Linked DNA regions of Xenopus tropicalis. The protein of the gene in region 2 purifies or fractionates together with the protein of the main gene of each other region. This does not show direct contact. Links are inferred from orthologs where the notes say so. Each region holds a gene or a part of one and is shown on either strand. Other genes may lie near its edges. The genes, in order: poc1a and coro1a.

What was found.
Region 1: the proteins of coro1a (region 2) and poc1a purify together in Homo sapiens (affinity purification with mass spectrometry; 3 studies listed by BioGRID and IntAct, counting the BioPlex papers as one, with this or other methods). This does not show direct contact. The link is inferred for Xenopus tropicalis from reciprocal best matches to the Homo sapiens genes CORO1A and POC1A.

The regions. Positions count from the first base shown.
Region 1 is NC_030680.2:128,788,146-128,792,699, forward strand, and holds the end of poc1a (POC1 centriolar protein homolog A), read right to left. Parts: intron 799-4,554; coding exon 679-798; 3' UTR 577-678; downstream 1-576.
Region 2 is NC_030685.2:2,354,525-2,358,978, forward strand, and holds the start of coro1a (coronin-1A), read right to left. Parts: upstream 3,098-4,454; 5' UTR 3,023-3,097; intron 1,582-3,022; 5' UTR 1,574-1,581; coding exon 1,376-1,573; intron 1-1,375. UniProt on the Homo sapiens protein: May be a crucial component of the cytoskeleton of highly motile cells, functioning both in the invagination of large pieces of plasma membrane, as well as in forming protrusions of the plasma membrane involved in cell locomotion.

The DNA.
Region 1 (4,554 bases), on a different chromosome or scaffold from region 2:
TATGTATCATCTACATTGATCTGATAGAGAGCAGAGCCAATACTTTCTTCCGTAAGGATCTTGCCAAATTCTAGAGCTGGGCCTGAACTGGTTTACAATTCCTGTCTCAGTCTAGCCCAAAGCCCCCCAACTTGTCCTCCGTATCCAATCAAGCTGCCTCAAAAACTACCCATAAAAAATAGCATTACCCCCTAATAACTTTTTATAGTAAGTCTTATGTACTGCCTTCAGCCACTGGTTCCTCTACTTTATTTCTTGGGAGCAGGGCCAGACTGGGCTTCATAATAGCATTTCAGGTACACAGAGGCCCAAACAGCCCCCCACCAGTCCAATAAATAGTGACTGTCTATGGCATCTTACAGCATTTGCCAGAACCCACAGATTGCCAGTCCGGGTCAGACTGCGAGTACAGAAATCCCTAAGCACATTTGGCGATTTAGCAACCACTAAAATAAAAAGTATTCAATTCTTTAATGGACCAGCACTTTCATCTTTTACTATATTTTACAGAGATTTTCTGTGGCCAACCTCATTATCTTAATCGTCCTCACCTTAATATCTCACATTTGGAGGCTGTTTATTCAAAAACATTTTATTAAAAACAATACATTAAAATATTTACAATAAAAATATATATTCCACAACAAGTCAAAACCTGAATAAAAAGCAAAGCATTGATTAAAATGATGGTGTTTTTGTAGCACTGTGACTGAGTGAAACAGTTGCCTGCTGGTTGTCAATGCATTCCTTCAATTTGTCTTCTGTTAGAGAAAGCCTTTGCTCTAAAATCCCCACGGTCTGGAAGGAAGAAGAGTTTGTTTTTATATGGATTAAAAATTATACAGTCATTTTCATATAAAACTAGAATAATTGAGATATTGGTCAGGCAGGCTAAGGTGGGGGGGCAGAACAATAAGCACATACAGGCAATATATAGGCCGACAAACATTGCTGACTTGTGAACGAGTTGGTAACGTAATGGTCTGCGTTTGGGAACGCACCCCCCCCCCCCAGCCTGCTTGATCTTAAAGGGCATAACGGGTGTGCCACAACAACATGCCTTCCACACCAGGAGCTCCCTCCCAGTGCAGGTGGCCTACACCTGGGGAGGAGCAATTTTAAAAAAAAAAAAAAAAAAAAAAGAAAAGGGAGCCCAACCAGAGTGTGGGCTCTTTTAATTCCAAACTTTGATGGGGGGAATCAGTTTTAGGGTGCCCTTTAATAGTGCAACAATGTAGCATGGAAGCAAACCAATATACAACAGCTGGATGCTTGAGACAACACAAAAGTATTTGGTCAAACATCTTATGAGGACATTTAGGAGTAAGAGACATTTGTGCGGTGTATATGGCAGTGACCACACTGGACTCTTCTCTGTTCAGCTGTTAATGCATAAATAATGGTGTTTCCTAACTTATTAAGGAATGCTGAACTAACACCATACTCCAGCATCTCATGGTGGTGGTCGGCTGGCAAACACAACTTTTTGTTCTGTAGCATTTCCCTTTGGCATGCACGCTGCTACCTGGATGATGCCAGGATCACTGACCCTTGCAGCCAGCTAGTGGCTTTGAGATTTATCTAAACTTCCCTTTCTCTGGAATTTTATACAGATAAATAAAATAATAGCAGATGTTTTTCCAACTGGTGAAATAAACAGTTCACTTCATAGAACGTTTCAGTGGGAATGAGGCAACCGCAGTACAGTTTGATTTCTCTGCTCAACCATTAATGGTCCATACAAAGAACTGACGACTGGGAGACAAAGGAAGTAACAGAAAGCAGGTCTGTGATGATGCAGTGGGAAGGGTTTTATTGTTCGGGAGCTTTATATGTAGATCTTGTTGCCTAGTGAGGAAGTATGGTAAATATGTGTTTAAAACATTGGTTACCATGGAAAAGATCAACACTATAAATGTCAAATATGATTAACCCATTTGCTCAGCATAAGGGAAATGGCAAAGCTGTCATTTCCCTTGTGCTGAGCCTTTTGCCATGCAAAGGGAAAGGGGCAACAAGACCATCGCTTAATGGTGCAGAAGCATGTCAAGAGGGTGACCAAGCTAATAAAAGGGAATTGATCATTCTCATTATGTAAATAGGCTGACTAATTGCTACAAATGGAAATCCCTTGTCTGGAAACCCCCAGGTCCCATGTATCTTGGATAACAGATCCCATACCTGTATATATAAATAGGGACAGACAATACACTCCTGTCCCTGGGTGCCTTAAACTGTGCTTCTACCTGGACTGTTAGGACATACCCAACTCTCATTTGAAACACTGACTGGGACCTGAGAAGATATATGGGTTCTCCAATAAAAGGGCAATTTTTAAAGTAAGAAACCATTGTAAGCCTAGAGTGAAACCAGCACCATATAGTATTCATAATTGCCTACAAGATTCAGGGGGGGGTTCTTAAATGCTGTATATCTCTTAATGACAGAGCTTTCCAGAGAACTGATGAGTGATTGTAAGCTCTTTTGGGCAGGGCTCCCTTCACCTCCTGTATCGGTTATTGATTGCCTTATATGTTACTCTGTATGTCCAATGTATAAAACCCACTTATTGTACAGCGCTGCAGAATATGTTGGCGCCTTATAAATAAATGTTAATAATAATAATAATAATCCTTAAGGTGAAAAGAATTAGATGTGCACTGGAAGATGAATAAAAAGGGCATGTTATTTCTGTAAAGTAGTTTGGAAACTTCTGCCTTCAAATAAAAACTCCAGCCCATTCTTAGATCCTACGCAATGGGCTGCGATAAATATGGGGCTAGTTAAGAGCAATTATGCTCTGGGGCTCCCTTGTTCCTTTAAAGGGGCTATACACTCCCTTTTTAATATAAGCTGCATGAATTGAGCTTGTGCCGAACATACTTGTATATTTTCCCTACATTTTCTTTTCAACACCCTGTCTGTCTTACTGGTTCTGCCTAGTAACCATTTGCAGAGAAGTAAGTAACAAATGGACAGTCCACAGGTACATTCTCTGTTTTATAAGCTGCTTCTTATCTCATTGCCTAACAAAAATGGCATCTTAGTGAAGGAGGAGAGATTCTACATAAACAGAGCTCAATATCTCCATTCAAACAAATTACAATTTGAATGATGAGAAAAGGATTTTATGGTCATTTATCAGAGGCAGGGGTTTTAATAGGTAACGGTCACCAAAGAGTGAATCTTTTTCTGAAAAGCCAACCATCAGGCTGATCAGATTGTTTAGCCTTAGGCCAAACCACTGGATCATAGCGACAGGAATACAAGTTTTCAAAACTGCCTGATCAAAGTTTGCCTGATTTTTGCCCAGCTATTGGTTGGACAGGCTCTTCAGAGGGCCCTATACGCGGGCAGCTGCTGGCTCTATCTGAATCAGCAGCTTAAATCTGCCCATGTATGGATACCTTAACTCTTTTACTGCCAAGCACGTATGGCATACGTGCTGGCAGTAAAAGGGCTTAAACGCCAACGACGTGTCTCATACGTCGTTGGCGTTTAAGCGCTGCCCTCTGCAGCGGCGGCATGTGCCGCCGCTGCAGAGGGCTTCTAACAATGACAGCCCCCCTGGGCAATGTGCCAGGGGGGCTGTCATCAGGGTCCTGCGAGCCGATCGCTCGCAGGACCCTCCAGGAAGCAGCAGATGCGATCGCATCGCATCTGCTGCTTCCTGCTTCCTCCCTCTCCCCCAGCGCCGGCCCAAATGACGAAGGAGGCGATCGGTCTTCAGGAACAGGTAAGGACTTTTTTTTTTAATTGCATTTACACACTTTTACACACTTATACACACATTTACATACATTTATACACACTTACATACATTTACACACACTTACAGCACACATTTTAGCATTTTTTTATTTTATTTTTTTTTTTTTTTTTTTCATTTTTCACACTTTTATACACTTATTTACACTCATATACACACTTACACACTATCACACAACTTTTACACATGTACACACATGTATACACAAACACTTTGGTTTTTTTTTGTTTTGCTTTTTTTTTTTTTTTTTTTTCATATTACCACTTTGTTTTTATTTTCTTTTACCTAAAAACTGTTTATTTTGACAGCGTAACTATTGGATCAGATATTCTGGCCACTAATTACACTGTCATGTAACTTATTTTGTTGTTTCACTGATTTGCACAATTTTGTGGTTTTATCACATTTTATCCCTATATAAGTGTTCCTGATCTGTTTTTAGCGTAGCTTTGCCAGGTGTAACTTTGGTGTACAAAAATAACTTTACCTATTTTGAATTCATCAGAATGTGTACTTTCCAAAAATATATGGTTTTCTGGGGGTCACTGTATAGTTAGGGGGGGGTTACTGCACATAATACACTGACGGGGCTCTGTGTGCAAAAGCTGAGCTGGCAGGCGAGAAATCCTTATGCGCTATTTTCATTTAGGGTTCAGTACATACCGCAGACTTTGGTATATCTATGCATATTGGGCATCAAACTGTTCAGTAGGCCTCTGGTGTTCCTATTTGGGGTGACTTGCCTTTGTACGCAAGAAATTGTGTGAGATAAATGCGGCAAATTG
Region 2 (4,454 bases):
GCCTGCACTAAGCTTAAACAGGACAAACCTCTCCCTGCACTAAGCTCAAACAGGAGGAACCTCTGCCTGCACTAAGCTCAAACAGGAGGAACCTCTGCCTGCACTAAGCTCAAACAGGACAAACCTCAGCCTGCACTAAGCTCAAACAGGACAAACCTCAGCCTGCACTAAGCTCAAACAGGACAAACCTCAGCCTGCACTAAGCTCAAACAGGAGGAACCTCTGCCTGCACTAAGCTCAAACAGGACAAACCTCAGCCTGCACTAAGCTCAAACAGGACAAACCTCAGCCTGCACTAAGCTCAAACAGGACAAACTTCTGCCTGCACTAAGCTCAAACAGGACAAACCTCAGCCTGCACTAAGCTCAAACAGGACAAACCTCTGCCTGCACTAAGCTCAAACAGGACAAACCTCTGCCTGCACTAAGCTCAAACAGGACAAACCTCTGCCTGCACTAAGCTCAAACAGGACAAACCTCAGCCTGCACTAAGCTCAAATAGGACAAACCTCAGCCTGCACTAAGCTCAAACAGGACAAACCTCTGCCTGGACTTAGCTCAAACAGGACAAACCTCAGCCTGCACTAAGCTCAAATAGGACAAACCTCTGCCTGCACTAAGCTCAAACAGGACAAACCTCTGCCTGCACTAGGCTCAAACAGGACAAACCTCTCCCTGCACTAAGCTCAAACAGGACAAACCTCAGCCTGCACTAAGCTCAAACAGGACAAACCTCAGCCTGCACTAAGCTCAAACAGGACAAACCTCAGCCTGCGGGACACTTGGTGTCTCCCTCATTTATTTTAGGGTGAACACCTATAAATTCTGGGAGGATGAGCTCTCAAGCAGACAGCAATAGTTCCTGAAAGCACAGGAAGTGGACTGAGCGTGCTATATTTCTTCCCCCCCTCAGCTGGGCTCTAAGTTCTCACTGTGCCACAGTATAAATCCTCTCTCCGGGGCTGTTTGGTGTCGGCGCACGTCCCTCTCTGCCTGTGAGTGTCTACTTCGCACCTGCACCTCCCGCCCTCAGCATCCTGTAGCAACCACATCCTGCCGCTCTGTGCTCAGCCACTCACACGTGCACGCCCCCCGCTCCTACTCACCCCCCAGTACTCACCTGCTCCCCTCACAACCTACCCACTCACTATAGTGTTCTACAAATTTCCCACTGCACTCACACTGACAGCTCACTCACCCTCATCCCTGCTCACTCACATGCCAATAACTCACTTACCCCTCCCCCTCCCCCAATATTTAGTATTCCCTCACTCACTTCCTGCCTCTCTCACTCACTAACAACAATGTGCCCCACTCAGCTCCTGGGTGAGTGCTTGCTCAGTTTTCTCCCCTACCTGTACAGGTGAGTGACTCACCTTAGAGAGAGGCAGAACCATGAAGGCGCCCCCCCCGCTGGCCTCCACCACGATGGCCAGGAACTTGGGATTGACGCAGCAGAAGTTGGAGTCCCAGGTGTTCTGGGAGACGCGGATGTCGTCGTAACATTGGTCGGCTTTCACGGCTTGGCCAAAAACATGGCGGAACTTACTGGTGCGCACAACCTTCCTGCTCATGGTGCGGCCTGCGGGGGGGAGAGAGGATCATGGGAAAAATGAGGGGAATCAAATGCAATAGGGGCAAGAGGAAATATAGCGCAGAGCGTAGGGGTGCAAATGAGTGGGGCAAGTAGACTGGGGTGAGTGAGGCAGGAGAGTGAGGTAGTGAGTGAGGCAGGAGAGTGAGTGAGGCAGGAGAGTGAGTGAGGCAGTGAGTGGTACATGGGGGGTAAGAGTGGGAGTATATGCCACAGAGTGCGGCACCCAGAGAGTGAGTGTGAGTGAGTGCAGAAGGGATGAAAGTGAGGGAGGCAAGAGTGTCAGTAAGTGAGGGGCAACAGGGGGATTGAGGGGGGAGACTGAGAGGAAAGGTGGGGAGAGAGTGAGTGAGTGAGGTGGAAAAAGTGAGTGGGAGACGGTGATGGCAGGGTGAGAGGAGAGAGTGAGTGAGTGAAAGGGAAGAGAGTGAGTGAGTGAAGGGGAAGAGAGTGAGTGAGTGAAGGGGAAGAGAGTGAGTGAGTGAGTGAGTGAAGAGGAAGAGAGTGAGTGAGTGAAGGGGAAGAGAGTGAGTGAGTGAATGGGAAGAGAGTGAGTGAGTGAGTGAGTGAGTGAAGGGGAAGAGAGTGAGTGAGTGAAGGGGAAGAGAGTGAGTGAAGGGGAAGAGAGTGAGTGAGTGAAGGGGAAGAGAGTGAGTGAGTGAAGGGGAAGAGAGTGAGTGAGTGAAGGGGAAGAGAGTGAGTGAGTGAAGGGGAAGAGAGTGAGTTATGGGGTGAAAGTGAATGAGAGGGAGTCAGAGGGTGGGAGAGAGTGTGAGTGAGTGCATGAATGAGTGTGAGAGTGAGTGACAGAGGAAGGTGAGTGAGAGGAAATATAGGGGAGAAGAGTGACCCCGTGTCCAACCCTCATTTTGTGCCCCATTTGGGGTGTGAATTACTTTCCTACCCCAGCCTGGGGCATGATGAGCTTCTACTGCCCTTCCTGATTAACCCCTTCCTGCTCAGACCTGTGACCGGATTAACCCTCTCAGCCCCGTCTGCCCTGATTAACCTTTCACTGTCCCACTCTGTGCCCTGATTAACCTTCTCAGCCCCGTCTGTGCCCTGATTAACGCTCTCAGCCCCATCTGTGCCCTGATTAACCCTCTCAGCCCCATCTGTACCCTGATTAACCCTCACTTTCCCCAGTCTGTGCCCTGATTAACCTTTCACTGCCCCAGTCTGTGCCCTGATTAACCTTTCACTGCCCCAGTCTGTGCCTTGATTAACCCTCACATGCCCCAGTCTGTGCCTTGATTAACCCTCACATGCCCCAGTCTGTGCTTTGATTAACCCTCACATGCCCCAGTCTGTGCCCTAATTAACCCTCATTTGCCCCAGTCTTTGCCCTGATTAATGCACTTCTGCCCTGATTAACCCCCTCCTGCACAAGCCTGTGCCCTGATTAACCCTCTCCTGCCCCAGACTGTACCTGTGGGTCCCGGTGCTGTGGGTCAGATGCTCAGAGCCAGTCACTTCCTGCCCTCTCGCTCTCGCTCGCTCTCTCTCTGTCTCTCTCACAAGTTCTTCTTTTCTAAAAGATTCTCGGCAAGAGACAGGGGGTGGGCAGGAAACTAGGGCTGCACCCTTCCCTCATATCCAGCACAGGAGGGGTTAATAGCGCAATCATCTGCAGCACCCTTGCAGTTTGTTAAGGCAAAAAACCCAGGGCCGGGGAGCACCAATAGGGTGATGTTTTATGTACAAAGGGGTTAATGGGGCAATGCCCTTGGCAATAAGGGGTTAAAGGGGTTCTGCACTGAAATGAAAGTATCAATGGACTCATAGTCTGTAGATCACTGGCAGGAAGGAGTTAATAGACAGGGGCCTGATACTGGGAGAGGGGCCGCATATAAGCACTGGGCAGGAAAGGGTTAATAACTGCTGCAGAGAGAGTGATGGTGGGTGCATGGAACATCAAGGGGTTAAAGGGAAAATAGCCCCAACTCTGTATCACCCTTCTTAACCCTATCTGCCCCTACTAACCTCTATCTGCCCCATGTCATCTCTGCCCCTTCTTATGTCTATATGCCCCTACTAACCTCTATCTGCCCCATGTCATCTCTGCCCCTTCTTATGTCTATATGCCCCTACTAATCTCTATCTGCCCCATGTCATCTCTGCCCCTACTAATCTCTATCTGCCCCATGTCATCTCTGCCCCTACTTATGTCTATCTGCCCCTACTAATCTCTATCTGCCCCTACTAATCTCTATCTGCCCCATGTCATCTCTGCCCCTTCTTATGTCTATCTGCCCCTACTAATCTCTATCTGCCCCATGTCATCTCTGCCCCTACTTATGTCTATCTGCCCCTACTAATCTCTATCTGCCCCATGTCATCTCTGCCCCTACTTATGTCTATCTACCCCTACTAACCTCTATCTGCCCCATGTCATCTCTGCCCCTTCTTATGTCTATCTGCCCCTACTAACCTCTATCTGCCCCATGTCATCTCTGCCCCTACTTATGTCTATCTGCCCCTACTAATCTCTATCTGCCCCATGTCATCTCTGCCCCTACTTGTGTCTATCTGCCCCTACTAATCTCTATCTGCCCCATGTCATCTCTGCCCCTTCTTATGTCTATCTGCCCCTACTAATCTCTATCTGCCCCATGTCATCTCTGCCCCTACTTATGTCTATCTGCCCCTACTAACCTCTATCTGCCCCATGTCATCTCTGCCCCTACTTATGTCTATCTGCCCCTACTAACCTCTATCTGCCCCATGTCATCTCTGCCCCTACTTATGTCTATCTGCCCCTACTAACCTCTATCTGCCCCATGTCATCTCTGCCCCTACTTATGTCTATCTGCCCCTACTTATGTCTATCTGCCCCCACGCATCTTTATCTGCCCCTTGTC